3 linked regions of the Xenopus tropicalis genome follow. The protein of the gene in region 2 interacts with the protein of the main gene of each other region in a pairwise test. Links are inferred from orthologs where the notes say so. Each region holds a gene or a part of one and is shown on either strand. Other genes may lie near its edges. The genes, in order: stk11, tnip2 and nfkb1.

The links.
Region 1: the proteins of tnip2 (region 2) and stk11 interact in binary tests that used the Homo sapiens proteins (3 or more experiments, as listed by UniProt). The link is inferred for Xenopus tropicalis from reciprocal best matches to the Homo sapiens genes TNIP2 and STK11.
Region 3: the proteins of tnip2 (region 2) and nfkb1 interact in binary tests that used the Homo sapiens proteins (3 or more experiments, as listed by UniProt). The link is inferred for Xenopus tropicalis from reciprocal best matches to the Homo sapiens genes TNIP2 and NFKB1.

The regions. Positions count from the first base shown.
Region 1 is NC_030677.2:100,082,136-100,085,796, forward strand, and holds part of stk11 (serine/threonine-protein kinase STK11), read right to left. Parts: intron 806-3,661; coding exon 673-805; intron 599-672; coding exon 462-598; intron 1-461. UniProt on the Homo sapiens protein: Tumor suppressor serine/threonine-protein kinase that controls the activity of AMP-activated protein kinase (AMPK) family members, thereby playing a role in various processes such as cell metabolism, cell polarity, apoptosis and DNA damage response.
Region 2 is NC_030677.2:21,860,776-21,864,292, forward strand, and holds part of tnip2 (TNFAIP3-interacting protein 2), read right to left. Parts: intron 1,589-3,517; coding exon 1,283-1,588; intron 367-1,282; coding exon 283-366; intron 15-282; coding exon 1-14. UniProt on the Homo sapiens protein: Inhibits NF-kappa-B activation by blocking the interaction of RIPK1 with its downstream effector NEMO/IKBKG.
Region 3 is NC_030677.2:73,609,940-73,612,860, forward strand, and holds part of nfkb1 (nuclear factor NF-kappa-B p105 subunit), read right to left. Parts: intron 2,727-2,921; coding exon 2,660-2,726; intron 1,655-2,659; coding exon 1,482-1,654; intron 80-1,481; coding exon 1-79.

The sequences.
Region 1 (3,661 bases), about 78 Mb from region 2:
AGATCGGGGACCACATCGGCTCGTTGATGCTGTCCCCGGACCGACTTTGCCTTAGCCTGGATTCTCCCGATATCGCCCACCCGTAGGAGTCGCCAAACAGGTGTATGGGCACCTTTAGACACTTATTAACATATGCAACCCATGGGCCAAGTGACTAGAGCATAAAGAAATTGAAAGTTACACAAAAATATGGTAATTTCTGTGGTGGCCTTCTACTGGTGCCAATGTAATGCTTCAGTAGACAGGATTTTGAGTCCAGACAGACAGACAGAAATTTGATGGGATTGAACAATCTTCTATCAAAATGGCATCTCAAAATGATCAGTTTGGCCCCTTAACCAGCTTTGTTTTAATTAAAATAGTCCATAGCTACATGCTGAAGCAAATAGTATTTTCTAACAAATCAGGTGTCAACATGGCTGTCGTCCACAGTAAGTGCAGTGGTGAATGTAGATACTCACAGCGTTACTCCTGCTGACCAGATGTCCACTTTGAATCCTGAGAAGGTATCCAGGCCATTGGCAATCTCTGGAGGCTGAAAAGCTGGAGATCCTTGGCTGGTCCTACAAGTATCACCTTCAGCAAACGGGTGCAAAGCCTGCAAAAGGAAAAAAAAAAAAGTCAAATGGCCAAATGTTTAAGATCTCTTATAAATAATCCACAGCTACATACCTCTGCCACCCCCAAGTCTGAGATTTTGAGTGTCCCATCTGTTGTTAGCAGCAAATTCCCTGGTTTAATGTCTTTGTGAACAATTCCCTGACTGTGAAGGTACTCCAGACCATCAATGAGTTGGCAAAAATAACTGTGGATCAAAAGAGTTCATTGTGTTAAAAAGGCTAGTTCAACTTTAAGGTAACTTTTAGTATGTTTTAGAATAACATATTCTTAGCAACTTTACAGAACAGTCAAAAAGATTGCTCTGTGAGCCTTTAACTGTATTGTTGCTGTTACTTTGTATTACTTATATATCTACTCAGGTTCACAATCTTCAGTCTGGCATTCAAACCACTACCTTATTGCTAAGGTATATTCATCCCTGGCAATCAGGGTTGAAATGTCAAACTGGAAAGCTGCTGAATAAAAAGGTTAATCGTAAGTGTAACAGATCTTGCCAGACTAATTTAATCGCCTTTTATGAGGAGGTGAGCAGGAACCTCGATGCTGGAATGGCAGTTGATGTCATCCACTCGGACTTTGTGTTTGATACAGTACCTCACAGAGGGTTAATGATCAAATTGAGGAATATTGGCCTTGAACATAATATTTGTAATTGGATAGAGAACTGGCTGAAGGATAGATTACAAAGAGTGGTGGTAAATGGAACATTTTCTAATTGGACCAGTGTTGTTGTTGTGTGGAGTACCGCTGGGGTCAGTCCTTGGTCCTTTGCTTTTTAACTTGTTTATTAATGACCTGGAGGTGGGCATAGACAGTACTGTTTCTATTTTTGCTGATGACACAAAACTGTGCAAAACTATAAGTTCCATGCAGGATGCTGCCACTTTGCAGAGCGATTTGACAAAATTGGGCAGCAAACTGGAAAATTAGGTTCAATGTTGACAAGTGCAAAGTTATGTACTTTGGTAGAAATAATATAAACGTGAACTATCTACTGAATGGTAGTGTATTGGGGGTATCTTTAATGGAGAAGGGCTTTTTGTAGATAACAAGTTGTCTAATTCCAGGCAGTGTCATTCTGTGGCTACTAAAGCGAATAAAGTGCTGTCTTGTACAAAAAGGGCATTGACTCAAGGGATGAAAACATAACTTTGCATCTTTATAGGTCCCTGGTAAGGACTCACCTTGAGTATGCAGTGCAGTTTTGGCCTCCAGTCCTTAAGAAGGATATTAATGAGCAAGGAGAGAGTGCAGAGACGTGCAACTAAACTGGTAAAGGGGATGGAATATTTAAGCTATGAGGTTAGACTGTCATGGTTGGGGTTGTTTTCTCTGGAAAAGAGGTGCTTGTAAGGGGACATGATTACTCTGTACAAAAACATTAGAGGGGATTATAGGCAGATAGGGGTTGTTCTTTTTTCCCATAAAAACGATCAATGCACCAGAGGCCACCCCTTTAGATTAGAGAAACAGAGCTTCCATTTGAAGCAGCGTAGGTGTTTTTTCACGGTGAGGGCAGTGAGGTTGTGGAATGTCCTTTCTAGTGATGTTGTAATGGCAGACTCTGTTAATGCCTTTAAGAGGGGCCTGGATGAGTTCTTGAACAAGCATAGCATCCAAGGCTATTGTGATAGTAAAATCTACAGTTAGTATTAGTAGTTGTGTATATATAGTTTATGTATGTGAGTGTATAGATTGTGTGTGCTGGGTTTACTTGGAAGGGTTGAACTTGATGGACTCTAGTCTTTTTTCAACCCTATGTAACTATGTAACAATTCCACAAAATAAACCTTTTTTTAAAAGGTTTCAAACTGTCGTAATTTATCATACAAGCCGATTTCCAAAAAAAAAAAAAAAAAAGTTGGGACACCGTGTAATACGTCAATAAAACCAGAATCTAATGATTTTCAGTAGTACAAAGACAACATAGCAAATGCTGAAACAGAGAACTTTTTAATCCTGAAATATATATGCTCATTTTAATTTAATGCCAGGAAAATATTTTTTTAAAATACTGGAACTGCTCAACAGTTCAGGTCACCTTTGTTGTATTTTTCATTTAATTATGCCATGCTTTTTAATAGGTACAGAATGTGGTTTGGCATTGTATTGCTGAAATAAGCAAGTCCTTTCCCTAAAAAAGATGTTGTCTGGATGGCAGCATATTTTGCTTCAAAACCTGTATATATCATTCACCATTAATGGTACTTCCCAGATGTGCAGGCTGCCTATGCCATGTGGACTAATTCATCCCCCATAATATCACGGATGCTGCCTTTTGAACTGTGCCAGAGGACATGGTGTCCATGATATCCAAAAAAAAAATTAAAATTTTGATTTATCAGACAAGATAGTTTTCCACTTTGCCTCAGTCCATCTGGAATGGTGATGTTTCTGGATCGTGTTAATATATTGTTTTTCTTTTCATTTTAGAAGAAAATAAAAACATTTAGAAATTACTGATGCAGTAATGCAGTCCATGCACTACAGAGTCATACCAGTTTTTAATGCAGGGATGCCTAAGGGCCCATGGTTCACGCCCATCCAATAGCATTTGCCTTATCCCTTGCCAACAGAGAATTCTTTGGAATCTCTGAATCTTTTAATGATATTGTGTACTATAGATGGTGTATGTAGATACTGAATTCCCCAAATTCTTTGCAATTTTATGTTGAGAAACATTATTAAATGTTTGCAATATTTGCCTGTGCAGTGTTTTATAGAGTGGAGTGTCTCTCCCCATCTTTACTTCTAAAAGACCCAGCATTATACAACCTGCTTGTTGCTGGCATCAAAATAAGCATTTCTATCTTTCAGAAAACAATAACATTTCTCAGTCTTACAATTGCTATGTGTTCTTTGTAATATTTTCAACTAAATCTAGAGTTTAAATTATTTGCAGACAATCCCATTCTTTTTTTTATTTTCATTTTTTAAAGTGTCCTGACTTGGAGGCTTGTACCAAAGGCTAATTTGAAGTTAATTAACCCCTTTAAAAAGGTTCAGGTAGTACACAATTCACACACCTAGACATCTCAAG
Region 2 (3,517 bases):
TTTAAATCTTCCACCTGGATGGGGCAAATGAAAACATTCCACCATTAGCGCCATTTATTCCTCCATTAATAGATATTTCTAATTCTATATTTCCAGGTCTGGAATCTTGTAAACTTTATCTGCACTTAACACAGCTCAGTACAAGGTCTATGTCTCTTTAAAGTGTCTTCACAATTCTGGGGAAAATACAGAGATCGATGTCGAAAGATCCCTGCGCGATGCTCAAGATGATATTACAGTAAAGATAAAAGAGGAAACAGAAATATATTTGCATTGACTTACATGAACAACTTTCTGTTTTAATAAACGGTTCTCTTCCTGAAGTTTGCTGAGAGATGACTCACTGCTGCAGTCTAGATTCGGGATCTGCAAATGATAAAGAAATAAGAAGAACTCGTTAGAAGGACAAAGCTAATTAAATACACGGCATTAAAACGGAGACAAAGGGACAAAGTAACCATTGCAACCAAAAGATAGATTATAGGCCATTCGTGATAGGACGGCATTAGATATTCTGCACTCTCTATAACATGGCATCTTTTCTGCTCCAACCTTCCGTGGTTTGGGTTATTACTGCGGATCCTGCACAAGTGCCAAGCCACCAATGTGAGGTTTCATGGGAAACCACAGATTTACAAGTGCTTTTTCATTTGTACGGTAAAGCAAACACACTGTGGGAAACTAGGGGATTATCTACAGTCATTTTTGGGAAATAAATGTAATATTACAAGTGGGTTTTACTAGGGATGCAGCAAATCCAGGATTTGGCCAACATTTGGCCTTTTTAAGCAGGATTCGGATTCAGCCAAATCAAATCCAATTTGGCTGATAAACATTGAAGTTGTACATTTTTCACTCTCTCGTTTCCATTGCAAATTCGGATTTGGTATTGGGCAGACTCTTTCGCAAAGGATTCAGGGTTCGGTTGAATCCCAAAAATAGTAGATTCAGTGCATTATTTTTTACAGACCCCTTTAATCAGTCGACAAAGAGAATTATAGTAAATATATTCCCCCCAATGTTAACCTTTAAACAGACTTTTAGTATGATGTAGAGACTGATAGCTCTCTGGTTGCTAGGGTCCAAATTAACCTAGCAACCAGGTAGTGGTTTTAATGCATAACTGGAATATGGAACGGAGAAGAGTTAAATAGAAAGATAAGAAAAAAATAACAATGAGTATAAAATTGTAGCCTCACAGAGCAACACTACTGGGGGCAGTGACCAAAGTCGGACCAAATTCTTGACCCAATGCCTCCCTAACTGGAATTTGTTCTCTCACCTTGCTGGGCCTTTCCGTGTGTGCCAGCTCCTCCATGTTCCGGTGGACATTTCTCTGTGAATCTTCGAGACACTTGACCAGGTGCTGACACATTTCGGCGGTGGCGGCCAGCTTGCGGCGGAGTTGTTGGCTTTCGTCGGACAAAGACTGGCACAGGACTTCGCTGGTGGCCTGAGCCCTCTCTTTATTGGCCAGCGTCTGCTGAAGGCGGCAGATTTCCAGTTCTTTCTCGTGCTGAGGCCAGCTGGCGTATTGCTGGACCTGCTTATCCTTATCTTCCAGCTGCTGATGGAGCCTCGTAATTTCCTGCAAACAGAAGAGTTCTGCCTTTAAAACACATTTCAATTCAAAAACACCTAGAGGTAAAAAATAGGCTGCACGTGCCGTAGCTACCGGGGGGCAAGTCTTGGGTTTCTATCCTGGAACAATACAGACTGTCTGGTTTGGATTCTCAAGTGTAATTCTTAGTTTACTGCCTTATATAATTATATAACATTTTGCAGTAGTTCTGAAATTATGTTTTTTTTGCAGTTCTCTAGCAGAGTGGGTAAACTTCTGATTAGTACAGTCAATGACCCAATCAACTAGGAAAAACCACTGAAATGGAACAATAGTAGGTAAAAGCTCAAACATAAACATAACAAGCTTTGGTTAAATAAAAACAAGATTTACTACCAAATAAAGCCCCTGTAAGCTGATAGTGTGCATAGAGGCTTCCTAATAGCCAATCACAGCCCTTATTTGGCACCTCCATGAACTTTTATGGTGCTTGTGTTGCTCCCCAAGTCTTTTTACATTCGACTGTGGCTCACGAGTAAGAAAGGTTGGGGATCCCTGCCCAAAGGCTATCATCCCACTAGGTACCATCTCTCCCTACTATACCTGCTATCCCACAGCCCCAGTCCCTTCCCAGAGGCTATTATCCCCCCACTGCTACTATAGGCACCATCTCTCCCTACTATACCTGCTATCCCACAGCCCCAGTCCCTTCCCAGAGGCTATTATCCCTCCACTGCTACTATAGGCACCATCTCTCCCTACTATACCTGCTATCCCACAGCCCCAGTCCCTTCCCAGAGGCTATTATCCCCCCACTGCTACTATAGGCACCATCTCTCCCTACTATACCTGCTATCCCACAGCCCCAGTCCCTTCCCAGAGGCTATTATCCCCCCACTGCTACTATAGGCACCATCTCTCCCTACTATACCTGCTATCCCACAGCCCCAGTCCCTTCCCAGAGGCTATTATCCCCCCACTGCTACTATAGGCACCATCTCTCCCTACTATACCTGCTATCCCACAGCCCCAGTCCCTTCCCAGAGGCTACTATCTCCCCACTGCTACTATAGGCACCATCTCTCCCTACTATACCTGCTATCCCACAGCCCCAGTCCCTTCCCAGAGGCTATTATCCCCCCACTGCTACTATAGGCACCTCTCTCCCTACTATACCTGCTATCCCACAGCCCCAGTCCCTTCCCAGAGGCTATTATCCCCCCACTGCTACTATAGGCACCATCTCTCCCTACTATACCTGCTATCCCACAGCCCCAGTCCCTTCCCAGAGGCTATTATCCCCCCACTGCTACTATAGGCACCATCTCTCCCTACTATACCTGCTATCCCACAGCCCCAGTCCCTTCCCAGAGGCTATTATCCCCCCACTGCTACTATAGGCACCATCTCTCCCTACTATACCTGCTATCCCACAGCCCCAGTCCCTTCCCAGAGGCTATTATCCCCCCACTGCTACTATAGGCACCATCTCTCCCTACTATACCTGCTATCCCACAGCCCCAGTCCCTTCCCAGAGGCTATTATCCCCCCACTGCTACTATAGGCACCATCTCTCCCTACTATACCTGCTATCCCACGGCCCCAGTCCTTTCCCAGAGGCTATTATCCCCCCACTGCTACTATAGGCACCATCTCTCCCTACTATACCTGCTATCCCACGGCCCCAGTCCTTTCCCAGAGGCTATTATCCCCCCACTGCTACTATAGGCACCTCTCTCCCTACTATACCTGCTATCCCACGGCCCCAGTCCTTTCCCAGAGGCTATTATCCCCCCACTGCTACTATAGGCACCATCTCTCCCTACTATACCTGCTATCCCACGGCCCCAGTCCTTTCCCAGAGGCTATTATCCCCCCACTGCTACTATAGGCACCATCTCTCCCTACTATACCTGCTATCCCACGGCCCCAGTCCTTTCCCAGAGGCTATTATCC
Region 3 (2,921 bases), about 52 Mb from region 2:
GCTCAATGGCCTCAACAGCTTCAGTGTAATGCATCAGTTTTAAGGCATCCAGGAGTTCTGTCATGGTTCCACCAGAAACCTTCAACAAAGCACAACCAAATGTTTCATTTCAACATTTGTAAAATAGATGTATAGACGCTATGGGGGTTATGTAATTAAAGGCACTAAATTTGCCCAGGTGCAGTAACCTATAGCAACCAATCAAACATCAAGGCTAGTACTTTAACTAAAAGTTAATTTTAAGGAGAATAAGCCTAAACTGAATTGAGGGCCGGCCCCCACACTTCTTTCTTTATTACTTAGCTACACAGCTAATGTGTGGACTGGTGGTTCTCTCCTTCAACTGAGAATGAGGCCTTCACTATATCAGAGAGTTCCCTTGAAGCACTCACAAATATTCCCCTTGCCAACCCCTTTGGGTATAGGAATATGTGGTACAGAAATCTTCTCAGGCAGCTGCTGGTCAGTTCCTCACTCTCCCAACAATCTCCATTTCTGAACTGAGGGATTTCTAAGGACACCTGACAATACAGGGCTAGTGTCTTGTATTTACTCTATACACTGTTAACAAAAGGGCAATCCCTTTGCTAACTGCCATATATAGTGGGCTGGAGACATACTGCAAATTAATGCTGATGATTGGAATGACCTCAAATGTTCAGTGTCGGTTTTGTTTGCATAGCAGTTTGGTTGGTTTTAGTTATGGACACATATGCTATGTGGCCAAATGTATACAGATTCATTGTCTAAAATGATGTGTCCTCAGCAGTCTTTGGACTCTGGAGAAGTGAAAATGCGTCTTCTGAAGTGATAAATGGCATTTTACCACCCGGCTGTATAATAGATGCCAGGAGAACACTCTCTGTCTAAAAACATTCCAACAATGCTTCAAACTCTAGTAAAGATGTCTATATATATATATATATAGGTGAATATATAGTGAAAAAACACTCCCTGCATTGCTGACATTAAATGAGTTTAAAGGACATGTCAATCCAGAATATAATGTTTTTGCCTAATAAAAAAAAACAAAAATTTGTAATGGTTATTTGTATATATAGCTGCTATTAAAAGCAGTGTCTGCCTGTCCTTTCTATTCTCTGCCCTGGTGGCTCTGGCATTTGAAACAATATAACAAATGCCAGCAGATTTTACAGACCAGACTTGCTGGAGGAGAACATTGTTTAAAAGCTAACAACCAGGAGTTCAGCAAATGCTGCTTTCAATAGCAACTACATTTACAAATAACTTTTAAAGCACTGAAAATATTTAACAAATTCATATTGGAAAGTTGCTTATGATTATATATATAATTTTTTTTTATTGTGCAAAAATTTATTTTTGGCGTTGACATGCCCTTTAAGTATGCATTAAAGGCCATGACAACACCCCTCATATGAACCATGTTTATTTGGAATTGACAAATAAAGTTCCAAGTGTTTAAATTTAGAATGGATACAGAACTAAAGCACAGTGCTTACCTCAAAGTTGTCCAGTAATGTTTTAGATGGGTGGGGGCTTAATCTGAAAGCATTGTTCAGCATTCCAAGGCCCAGCTTCTGTGCTAAAGTGACCCAGTTCTTGTCCAAATCTCGGCTTTCTAACAAGGTGTACAGCCTCTGCTTTACCTCTCCACTAAGGTTTTTCATGTCACCTTCAAAATAAAGAAATAATTTAAGAGAAATAGAAGCTTAACGTTCCTATTGTATGAACAATTTATGATTTATTGATGATCATATTATTAAACACAGGGTGTCAAAACTTTTTATGGGTAAGAACCGAATTGTATTCATTTTTTTTATATAGGCAATTTATTTCATAAGTACGTAAAAACTATATTGTGTTAAAGTCCAGATTATATACATATATATAGATATATAAATAATTTCCCTGTTTGTCCAAACTTTTGGAAATGTAACTGGATGAGCTCAGGGGCTACATTTATTTATATAAATTATAGTAGTACTTCTGAAGCAAACGCAAGTTCAGGGCAACAGTACAATTAAATGATATGCTTATCAAACACTTTCATTGTTTTTGTGTTACTGGTCCTTAAATACTGAGAATGTTCAGGACAGGCAGAGTGCTGTGCCAATTTTAAATAGGATGAGGGTTTGCACACAAGAAACACAAGCACAGTGGTAGTATTAAAAATATAATCCTTTATATAGTATACAAAAGATTTAACAGCAGTCAATTTTAATTGCAAGATTACAAAAAATAATACATAGATTTATAAGATAATACATACCACAAAATGCGCATAGGCAAAAGGAGACACACAAGTTAGTGGATACACTTGCCAAAGATGAGAAATACCCCAACATTTCGGCAAAGAGCCTTTCTCAAGGGGGGCACATTTTGTGGGTATGTATTATCTTATAAATCTATGTATTATCTTTTGTAATCTTGCAATTAAAATTGACTGCTGTTAAATCTTTTGTATACTATATAAAGGACTATATTTTTTAATACTATCATTGTGCTTGTGTTTCTTGTGTGCAAACCCTCATCCTATTTAAAATGACTGTTTTTGGTGCCCTGTATGGGGGTACTGCTTTTGGGTTTCTTGCACCAAACATCTATATTGTTGTTTTTTTGTATGCGAAGTGAGTGCCCTCCATTTATGTATATTTACTATAGAGTGCTGTGCCAATACCTTGTGGCAAGGAGTCTTCAGGAGCCACTTCTGACTTGTAAGGCTTGCCATTCAGAATTTCAAGAACCTACATATTGGGAGGAGGAAGTAATAAATTAAAATACCACAACAGAAAAATCATTCTGATATATATGCAGTCTGTTTTTTGCATCAGAAATAACTGTCTACAATATCACAATGCCTTTAGTGTTTGGCCTTTCCATTTATATATGATATCACCTAATGTTGAATTAATATAGGGACATTGTGGCTAAAGGTTGCC